Canis lupus familiaris: one gene and its partners. The protein of the gene in region 1 interacts with the protein of each later gene in a pairwise test. Links are inferred from orthologs where the notes say so. Each region holds a gene or a part of one and is shown in the gene's direction. Other genes may lie near its edges.

Evidence for each region.
Region 2: the proteins of ESR2 (region 1) and PLSCR1 interact in binary tests that used the Homo sapiens proteins (3 or more experiments, as listed by UniProt). The link is inferred for Canis lupus familiaris from reciprocal best matches to the Homo sapiens genes ESR2 and PLSCR1.
Region 3: the proteins of ESR2 (region 1) and SRC interact in a two-hybrid assay, tested with the Homo sapiens proteins (2 studies listed by BioGRID). The link is inferred for Canis lupus familiaris from reciprocal best matches to the Homo sapiens genes ESR2 and SRC.

What each region holds. Positions count from the first base shown.
Region 1 is NC_049229.1:38,987,345-38,991,449, reverse strand, and holds the start of ESR2 (estrogen receptor beta), read left to right. Parts: upstream 1-1,305; 5' UTR 1,306-1,415; intron 1,416-4,105.
Region 2 is NC_049244.1:42,179,988-42,183,505, reverse strand, and holds part of PLSCR1 (phospholipid scramblase 1), read left to right. Parts: intron 1-1,563; coding exon 1,564-1,892; intron 1,893-3,518. UniProt on the Homo sapiens protein: Catalyzes calcium-induced ATP-independent rapid bidirectional and non-specific movement of phospholipids (lipid scrambling or lipid flip-flop) between the inner and outer leaflet of the plasma membrane resulting in collapse of the phospholipid asymmetry which leads to phosphatidylserine externalization on the cell surface.
Region 3 is NC_049245.1:26,586,646-26,589,620, forward strand, and holds the end of SRC (proto-oncogene tyrosine-protein kinase Src), read left to right. Parts: intron 1-239; coding exon 240-448; 3' UTR 449-2,468; downstream 2,469-2,975. UniProt on the Homo sapiens protein: Non-receptor protein tyrosine kinase which is activated following engagement of many different classes of cellular receptors including immune response receptors, integrins and other adhesion receptors, receptor protein tyrosine kinases, G protein-coupled receptors as well as cytokine receptors.

The sequences.
Region 1 (4,105 bases):
GATGATTAATTAGACACAAATGTGGCACTGGGGTCTGAGAATGGCTTATGGGACATATGCAACTTACCATTGGATTTTCGCCACCAGTGGCTGCCCTAACGCCAGGTGCTGCTTAACGACTAGGGAAAGTCCTCAGGCTGTGGGCTGTGCTGCAGGGTGGGCGAGGAGAGCTTGGGGACTCCGCAGACCTGGGGGACTGGAGCTGCCACCAGGGGGCTCAGGCCTGCAGGGAGCTCCACGGAGGCCCTGCGGAGGGAAGAGGGGCGCCGCCAGCGGCAGAGGCAGATGTCCCCCCAGCTGCCTCTTTTGGCAGCGGTGAGTGAGGAGGTTCCTGGGCTCCTTGCTCTAAGGCGAAAGGCCTCCCCAGCCGGCCGCTCAGAACCCGCACCCGCCATCTACCTCCACGGCCTCGTGGCTTGGCCTCTCCAGGGGCACGAACCTGCCCTTGGGCCCCGGACTGAGAAAACCCAAAGCCTCTCTAGTTTCACCACTGGATTCTTAAGAGTCAGATTTCTGGGGGCACCTTCCGTGGTTGAGCCTCTGCCTTCCGCTCAGGGCGTGATCCTGGGGTCCCGGGATCGAGTCCCACGTTGGGTTCCCTGCACGGAGCCTGCTTCTCCCTCTGCCTGTGTCTCTGCCTCTCTCTCTGTGTGTCTCTCATGAGTAAATAAATTCTTAAAAAAAAAAAAAAAAGTCAGACTTCTGTATTTAAATGACCCCGAAGCATCCACTGACAGACCCACGTGGGGCACGGTCTAGGGACGTGAATCTTCAAAGTGTGGCCCCCCCACCGGGCAGCATCCGTTTGGGCTTGGTCCTGCACCGGGTTGGAAATGCGCATTCTCAGGCCCCGCCCCAGACCTCCCAAACCCAGGCCGGCGGGAAGGGCGCCTCGAGTGCTCGCTCCCCGGGGCTTCTCCCTCCGCCCAGGTGAGTGTGGATGGCGAGACACGGGGAGTCCGCGTCCTCCCGAGATTTCTGGGCAGCCGGCTCGGTGGTCACGTGGGCTCTTGGAGGCTTTCTCCGCCGCCCCCGGGTCTTTAAAAGGGAGGAGAGGCTCCTCGTTAAGTCGTTGGTGATCTTTGCAGCGTCTCCGGCTCCTGGACCTGTTGAAACCGGGTTCGCGCCCCTGCAGCCAGGCAGCCCGAAGCGCCGAGGGGGCGGGGACCGCCGGGGAAACTTGCGGTGGGTGGGAGGGGGCGGCGGGAGCGCGGAGGGGGACCGCGGCGGCGGCGGGCGGCGGGCGGCGATCCAGCTGCGCTCGGGCTCCGGCTCCGCTCCGGCTCCGCTCCGGCTCCGCGCCGCGCGGTGGGCGCGCTCTCCGGCCCCGGGACCGCGGGGCCCGCGGCGGGCGGCTGCTCCGGGAGAGGCCGGGCCCGCGTGACAGAGACCCCTGGGCGCCGTGCACCTGCAAGGTAAGGGCCCCCCGGCCGGCTCGAGGTGGGACTGTCTGCTCCTCTGTGTGAAAGCCAAGGATGCGAAAGCAGCAATATTGAGAACAATGACAGACCCCCGCCTCCGCCCGAAACCACTTGTCTTGAAAACTATAGGAAACAGAAATTTCACGCTCTAAGTATTTTCACTCAAGACGCTGGCAAGTTAATTTAATTAGTTTGTGCCTGTAAACTCCGGATTGATACGTGTCTTTTTGAAAGAAAAAAACTCTAGATTTTTTCTTTCTTTCTTTTCTTTCTTTTATTTTTCTTTCTTTCTTTTCCTCTTTTTTTTCTTTCTTTTCGTTCTTTCTTTCTTTCTTTCTTTCTCTCTTTCTTTCTCTCTTTCTTTCTCTCTTTCTCTCTTTCTCTCTTTCTTTCTTTCTTTCTTTCTTCTTTCCTCCTATGGATTTCCCGAAAAAGGGTGAAATGATGAGCGTGGGAAAGTTGAACGAGGACTTCATGCTTGAGTTTTGTGGGCCTGGGAAGGTGTACGTGGATCAAGCAGGTGACCGGTGTTTTAAATGTATTAAGTGCCACTGCTCAGTGATATAAAAAACAGATTTGCTTCTGTCCTGGGTGAACTGAGCAAGATCTAAGATCTGGTCTGTTTTATTTGCTGAAGAGGAAGCCAGCTGCTCTTCTCTTGTCCCTTTGTGTTACCATTCGTGCCTGATTCATTTCGGAAGCCTAAAATTAAGTCAAGGGAATAATATTTTTTTGTAAAAAAAATTTGGGTTTGAGTGAATTTCTATTTAGGAAAACCAGGTTGACTCAATTTTACTAGCTTTTTAAAAAAGCAGCTTTGTGCTTTGGTGTAGTACACAACCCTTTGGAGGTAAGATTTTTGCCTTACTAGACTTTTAGTATTTTCATGGACATGCCATTGGGAATTTTTACTTTTAAGTTTCTGAACTCACAGTGGCTATTATATGTGGAGAAAGGTATTCGTTACTTAAGTGAACATGTGGAAAGAAAGGTTTCTGCCGTTAAGTATTGTAAAAAAGTATGTGTTCTCTGACTATGACACTTCTTCTTTGCCTTTTATTTTTTCTGCAGAAAAATCTATATTTCTGCATATACTCAAGAAGAGGGAGAATGTAAGGTGTTAAAGCATAATCTTAGGATCCATTTTACATTCAATCTTCTTTTTTTCAGTTGAATTACTGAAACATTCTTATTTCAAAAACAGCCAGTCTCCTGTAACTCTTAAGACTTGAAAATCTCTGAAATCTATTAAAAACACAGAATACATTTCATAGTGGTTCTGAGGGACTCAAATGAATCTAATGACCTTTTCTATTCCTCAGTTTACTTATAATATGGAAAAGGTAAAATTTAGTAGTAAATTTAACCCTTCAAAACATAATTAACATCTAATAGATATTGAAATGTTCATTTTTAAGAGTAAAACACTACAGTTTTCTATATATCTATATTCAAGTAATGGTGCAAAATACATCTGATAATTTTAGTTTATGTTTTGAGCCACTTTATATAATACTTGTAAATATGTAATGATTATATAAAACACTGAAGGCTGAACTTGAATCATTTACTGGTAAGTTTTTTCCTAATTACATCTAGAACATTGAGAACTGTATACTTGAATGTTACACTTCATAATTTAGTGGAAATGGACATTATAGCCATTTTAAAAAGGCAGGTTCCTGGCAATATAATTTATATACAGTAAAACCTAGCCTCTTTAGGTTACCCTTTATGAATTCTGACAGTTGCAACATTTATATAATCACTTCTACAGTCAAGACCTAGAAGAGTGCCATCACTCCCAAAAGTCCCCTTTGTGTGTTTGTAATCAGCCCCCCCACCCATCCTCACCCCCTGAAAAATCACTGAACTGTTCCCTAATTTTACTGTTCTGTTCTTCAGTATGTTTTTACCCAGAAATAATTAATCTTCCTATGCTTTTTGCAAAAGAGAATCCCAGTCTCCCTCAACCCCCCTTTTTGTTGGGATGAGTCAGGTTGTGGTATTTTTGTTTTACTCCTTATATACTTTGGAATGAATTGAGGCAAAGAAAAGCTATTTTGCAAATGGGACTGTTAGGTTCCCATTGGGCTAATAGATTTCATTCTTAGCACATTCGGATTCCATTGTGGGCTAAGTCTTTTGTTCTGGTGTGCATCTGGATTATCACCAACTGAATACAGGGTTTTTAAAAAGAAACATTGGTCATTTATGTAATATTAATAGAATGTATTGTATTTATATAACTAGGCATTTAAAAAATACTTTTATTATATTTGAGAGTACAAAAGTTACCTGAAATTACGTACGATTAATTAGTGAGGAGCAGAAAAGTAATTAAAAATGGCAATCTGGAGACATTGAAAATCTAATATAGAGTGATTGTGACTTAAGTTAAAAAATACTGTCCTTATTAAGAGTTGAGGTCTGTGCCCAATTTATGTGTTGATGTCAGAGTTTTTCCATTTCTGTGCTCATGCTTTGAAATCTAGATTTTCTTGCAGGACATATTCTTTACTGTTTAATGCATTATTCAATTTAGAGAATAGCTAGGAGTCTGTTATTGTTAAGCACTCCTAATAAAGATATGTCAGATGATGTCTTTTTCCTTTCTCCTTTGTGCTATGAAAAGAGGAGGCCGTATTTTCTACATGCAGCTTACCTTTCAGAGAACTACAGAG
Region 2 (3,518 bases), on another chromosome or scaffold:
GAAGAGTTTTGCATTTGGTTTTCTTTCCTCCTGGACATTTCTTGCCGGATCTTTACACAGAGCTTTTCTGTTCTCATATTTTAGATCTCAACAGAAATTTTTTTTCTATCTAATGTAACGAATTGATACCTTTCCCTCTCCACCATGCATTTTCTCTATAAGTTCAATCTGAAATCTTTTAAATCAAAGAATTTATTTTCCCTTTCCCAAAAGTTGCCTGTAAGCTTCCTGAGGGCAGGTTGCCTGTTGATAGCTGTGTCCTCTGATTCTAGAACAGAGCCAGTCACATTGTAGAATGTTGGTAAATATTTATTGTAAGAAGGAATGAATTATAAAAACTATATTTAAAAGATATTAGTATGAGATTTAGTCTCTTCTAAATCTTTTTAATGGTGTATGTGTTTTGCCTCAGTGATTTTTTAAGTACTTATAAATTACATAATCTAAGTATTAAATTTTATATAGCCTTTCCTGTTAAAATATTATGAAACACATTCCTTTGAAATTATATTCCATTCCTGTGGGATTGCTACTCTGTGGACTACTCATGGAAGCTTATGAAGTTCCATTGCAATCACAAATTCACATGGAATACAGAATATACGCTTATTAAATTTCTTCCTCTCCTGTGCTTCTTAAATACTTAAGATTGCCTATTGTAACTTTTTATCTTCCTTAGTTCTCAAATTATATTTTTCAGAGTGCTGTAAATTATAAAACTTAAATTTGTAATCTATCATACTGGATGATTTTTTCATGTAGGAGGTTTTAGGATAGGAATGTACCATGCCTGAAAATTTCAGGCTGATTGTTCACCCAGATAAGCATCTGGACAATATTGGAAGTAACAACATGCTTTTACCTTTATGCCAAGGTTTCTCAATGGCAGCACTATAATATTTGGAGATGAATAACTCTTTTTATTTTTCAGGGTACTATTCTAGCATTTCAGGAAGTATTTAGCAGCATCACTGACCTCTGTTTACCAGATGCCAGTATCACCCTCCATTCCAGCTGAAACAACCAAAAATATACCCAAACTTTGCCACATATTCTTTGAGGGGGCAAAACCACCCCTAGTTCTATACATAAAGGAGATACTGTTTCCTACAGTTCCAGAATTATCATATTTTTATACAATACTTTGGTTTCAGAAATGCTGATTCCAAGCCTTTTTGGGCCTTTTACTCCGTGCCATCTCTCTTTTCTATTAGGGCATTCCAGAATCTTTATGTAGGTGACTCTAGATCATTGTTGATTTCCTGTCACTTTCCTAGTTTTCAAGACTATTTTCAACTGAAAATTGAAAATTGAAAATTTTGAGTGGTGGATAAGGCTTGGGCCAATCCTACTCCCAGCCCCAAGCCGTATAGGAGTGGATATGAAACCACAAATATTTCATTGAAAAATCGCTGAAAGATAAAAACACAACCTTTAAGCTTCATAAAAACAGGATTTCTGAGTTGAAATTTTAGTTTGTAGAGTTTTAGGAGTAATCCCAAAAGAATTCATGTTTCAAATTTTCTGTGCAGTTACAAATTATTTTACTTGTTTATATTTCAGGGCCTCCAGGACATATGGGCTACCCTGGCCCTCAGGTTGGCTATCCTGGCCCTCAGGTTGGCTATCCTGGCCCTCAGGTTGGCTATCCCGGCCCCCAGCCTGGCTATCCTGGCCCCCAGCCTGGCTATCCCGGCCCCCAGCCTGGCTATCCTGGCCCTCAGGCTGGCTACTCAATTCCACCAGCTGATTATTTAGGTGCTGGCCCAGTAGGCTTTCCTGTCCAACACCAGCCAGTGTATAATCAGCCAGGTGGACCTGCAGGGGTACCATGGATGCCAGCACCACCACCTCCATTAGACTGTCCACCTGGATTGGAATATTTAAGTCAGGTAATTCTAAATAAGTGAAACACTCATAAAAAAATAAAATTGTGCATATCATTTGCTTAATGAAATTAACAAATGACTAATTCAGAAAAGTCTGAAATGGTAAAACATTTTACACTAACAAATTACTATAAGTCTTCTAGGTCAAGTTTACTTTCAAAGCAAAATATAAATGTCTCATGAAATTGTGTTTTCTATGATTTTGAATATACTCTGTGGCAATGGTCAATAGCAAACTTTAATTAAGCACTATTTTCCAGAGTTTGTTCCTAAGTATAACACATGCATTAACTTATCTAATCCCTTAGAAGCTCTATGATATATAGGTGCTATAATTATCATCATTTTACAGAAGAGGAAACTGAGGTCCAGGGAGATTATATAACTGACTCAGGGTCAAAACACTAAGGAATGGCTTCTTAATTCTGGAAACTTGGTTCTAGATCTTGTTCTTTAATCTTAACACCGAATAACTTCCTGAGAGGTGAATAGAAACATTAAACTAAATTTAGTGCTGAGTGTCAAGGTGCCTGGGTGGCTCAGTTGGTTAAGTGTCTGCCTCCAGCTCAGGTCATTATCCCAGGTTCCTGGGATTGAACCCAGGGTCAAACTCCCTGCTCAGCAGAGTCTGCTTCTCCTTTCTCTGCCCCTCCCTCCAGCTTGTGCACTCTCTCTCTCATAAATAAACAAAAAAATCTTTTTAAAAAATTTAGTGTTGATATCAATAAGTGGTACCAAAAACTGAGAGTTAATATTTTCTGTATAACATGATTCACTTTTTGTTATAATTAATAAAACTATATTTTATGATGCTTTGTCCTTTGGAAGAACCAATTTTATTAACACCACCAGTGAGGAAAAAAAAAAATCCTTTTTTTTCCCTTGCCCATATCCTAGCAATGTGAAGGTTAGTATTTGCTTAATGTTGGAAATCTGGTATGTAAACTGGGAATATGAAATTATTTGTGTCTAATCTATAAACAGCTATTCCTGCGATAACTAACCAGTTTTAAGTAAATGAATTGGCTCTCTTTTACTCTCTGTACTACTTTAATTTTCCCCAATGCACTTGGGTGTTGTAAGAACTATTAGTAGTTCATACAATCCAAGAAATACTTTAAACAGATTCTTTTTAAAAATCAAGGCCTTACAAAATATATAGGGGAAGTTATTACCTGCTCCAAAAGGTAATATCAAGCACACTTCAAATTTGTTTTTTAAATTTGGAAAGAATTTTTAAATTTGGAAAGAAGCACTTTAAATGGATAAGGAGTCTTAATATTTCTTAAGTCTTTTCAAGAAGGAACTTTTTTTTTTTAATTTTTAGAGGGATTCCAGTGTAAGTCAATTTTATTTGACCTGAATTTGCCCACGTTAATAGTGAACACATTCAATAGATTGTTTTTCTTTTTCTTTTTTAAAGATTTTATTTGAGAAAGAGAGAGCATGCATGCATGTGCAAGCACACAAAAATGGCAGGGAGGGGCGGAGGGAAAGGGAGAAGCAGACTTCCCACTGAGTCGGGAGCCCAACTCCCGGCTGATCCCAGGACCCTGAGATCATGACCTGAGCCAAAGCCAGCCACTTAACCAATTGAGCCACCCAGGTGCCCCAGTAGATTGTTTTCAA
Region 3 (2,975 bases), on another chromosome or scaffold:
GGTGATCTAGGGCAAACCACACCCCTTCCCAGGCTCAGTTTCCCCATCTGTATAATAAAGAGGTTGAGTATCCCATCTTAGGGGCTCTCTGGTCAGGGCTCTCTGCCATGGGAGGGGACTTACCCGTGATCACAGCCCCCTGCCCTAGGCGAGAGGTCATCTCTGCTCTCCTCATCATCCTCCCCCCACCTGGCTTTCCTCACAAGAGCCAGTCTCCTCATGCTTCCCTCTACCCACAGGGATGGTCAACCGTGAGGTGCTTGACCAGGTGGAACGGGGCTACCGGATGCCCTGCCCGCCTGAGTGTCCCGAGTCCCTGCACGACCTCATGTGCCAGTGCTGGCGGAAGGAGCCTGAGGAACGACCCACCTTTGAGTACCTGCAGGCCTTCCTGGAGGACTACTTCACATCCACCGAGCCCCAGTACCAGCCGGGAGAGAACCTATAGGGAGCAAGCTACAGGGCCAGACTGGCTTCTCGGCTTGGATCCTGGGCTGGGTGGCCCCTGATGTAGGATCTTGCCTCCCTCCGCCTGCCTGCATTGATCCCCTCTGTGGGGCTGAATTGTCAGTGATGAGGCCCCTCCCTCTTTTGTGGCATGGAAGGGCTTGGGGCCTGGGGTGGCCTCGGGGACAGGGTCCAAGGCTGGCACAGTGACTGCATCCCGGTTCCTGCTCCGGCCACATGTGTCCCCCCAGCCTTCCCTTCTGGAGCTCTGTGCTGCTCAGCAGGAGGAAGCAGGAAGAAGGACGGGCTGCTCCCCACATTGGCTCCTTCCCACTTCCATGTCATCCCAGGTCTGCCTCCAGAGCTGGCCGAAGAGCCTTTCCAAAGAGGAGTGATGGGCCCCTGGCCCACGGCCTGCCCGCCACCCTACCCCTTGCCGTCCATTTCTGAAACACCTGTTGGTGGAAGCTGCTGGCTCCAGGCCCCTCTGCCACGGCTCCCCGGCTGTGCAGCTGAGGTGTAGCTTGACTTCATGGTGGTGGGTAGGGTGGGCACCCCCCTCAAGTCCTGTTCTTAGACCCCACGGACCCTGAGAGATCACCAATTCCTTGTCCTCATAGTACCCCTGGGGAAACAGTCCAGAGAGGGGATGTGACTTGCCCAAGACCACAGAGAAGTTCAGGGTTGAGGTGGGTTCGGAACCCGGTGCTCCCTCTGTCTTCCTCAGGAACCAACAAGATTGTCCTTGGAGGCAGCGTGGACAGCCCAGGGCAGCCTAGGGGACCAGGGGCCTGAGGCTGAATTAGAGATAGCAGAGAGAGTCCTGCTGCCACTGCCTGCCTGGCGGGGCTGCTGTGCAGGGAGAGAGTGGAGGGGGACGGAGGGCGGGGCTAGGAATGAGGGGTGACCATGCAGGCGTTGGGAAGATGTCGAACAGAATGTGAGTGGTTCTCATCCTTGGGGCCAGCCAGCATGAAAGAGAGTGAGCTCCCAGGCTCCGGACGCAATTGAACAGAAATAGAAGATCTAAGTGGTTGGGCGGTCCTGGCCTCAGGAGGAACCCCAGTTTGTCCTGTGTCATTTCAATGCCTGGCGCCTGCCCTCCTCCCCAAGTTGGCACCCCTTAACTCATGAGCGGGGAAAGGAGTACCTAATGCTGGGGTGGGAGAGGATGAGTGTCCGCTGCTATGTGCCAAGCCTGGCTGTGCTGGCGGTGTGACCTCGGGTGGCCCCTGCTTCCTCCCTCGGCTGCAGTGTCTGCCTTCATGTGTGGCCGTGGCCTCTGCAACTGCTCTGCTCCAGACCCTGTGGCCTGGCATCACTTGGTGAGCCCCGCCTGGGGCATCCGGAGGCTCTCTGGCCCTAGCTCTGGTGTTTAGCCTTAGGGTATGTGGTGGCTCCTCCCTGGGCCTTGGTGTGCCCATCTTAAAAGGGGTGGCTGACGGTTTGTGGGCATCTTGCCAAGGGCCCCATGTGTGTGTATGTGCGTTGTGTGTGTGTGCACATGTGTGTTCTTCCATGTATGTCCATATTTAACATGTAAAAATGCTCCCCTGCTCTGTCCCCGAGACATGTTGTACATTTCACCCACAGCCCCCCATCATAGCAATAACATTCCTGCTGCCAGGGGTGCTCGAGCCAGCCAGGCCCTGCCAGTGGGAAAGGAGGCCAAGCGGTGCCTGCCTATGAAATTTCAACTTTTCCTTTCATACATGTTTATTACGCAAGTCTGCTGTCCGTCCCAGTCGGATCTGGGCTCGCTGACCCCGGCGTGCTCTCAAGTCCCCCTTCCAGCTGCCCGGGGCCCTTTGTATAAGGTGTCCTAATACTGTTTTGTTTTGTTTTTTTAAATAAACAGTGTTTTGTAGATTTCAGATGACTATGCAGAGGCCTAGGGGACCCTCAGCTCTGGGCAGGGCCTGGGGGTCCCAGATTTCACGGCCCAGGCTTGGGGGGGAGGGATCCAGAATTGGTTGTAAATACTTTGCATATTGTCTGATTAAACACAAACAGACCTCAAAGTTTGGCCTGTGGTTTATTGAGCATCTACCGTGTGCTGGAGAGTGAGAGGGGTGGGATGTGAGGACAGACTGTGGTGGGAGGGGCCTTGTTCGGGCCACGCTGGTGGCTAGAGGGCTTTAGGCCAGGGGGAGACGTGATCAGATTGGAGACAGACTGCACCTGTCTGCACTCACCAGAGTGAGCACATCTGGCAGAGGCTGGCTTGTGTCTGACATGCACCAGTGAAGCCAGGACTCCCACAGGGTGAGCCATTCAGGATGCAGATGCCCTGGGTGGATGGTGGCAGTTGACACTCTGGGGGCCGGGAGGGACTGTCAGGCCTGTGTGGGGTCACAGGCGTGCTTACAGGGTGATGTGGCTGTGTGTGTGCTGTGTTTTGCAGGAGCGCCAGGCTGGGGTGGAGCTGGATCCACTCTAGAGAAAAACCCAAAGACCTTTCGTCTCCTCCCTTTTCCCTCACCACTAAGGGACACAACTAGGTAGTTATTTGCGACAGTCTATATGAA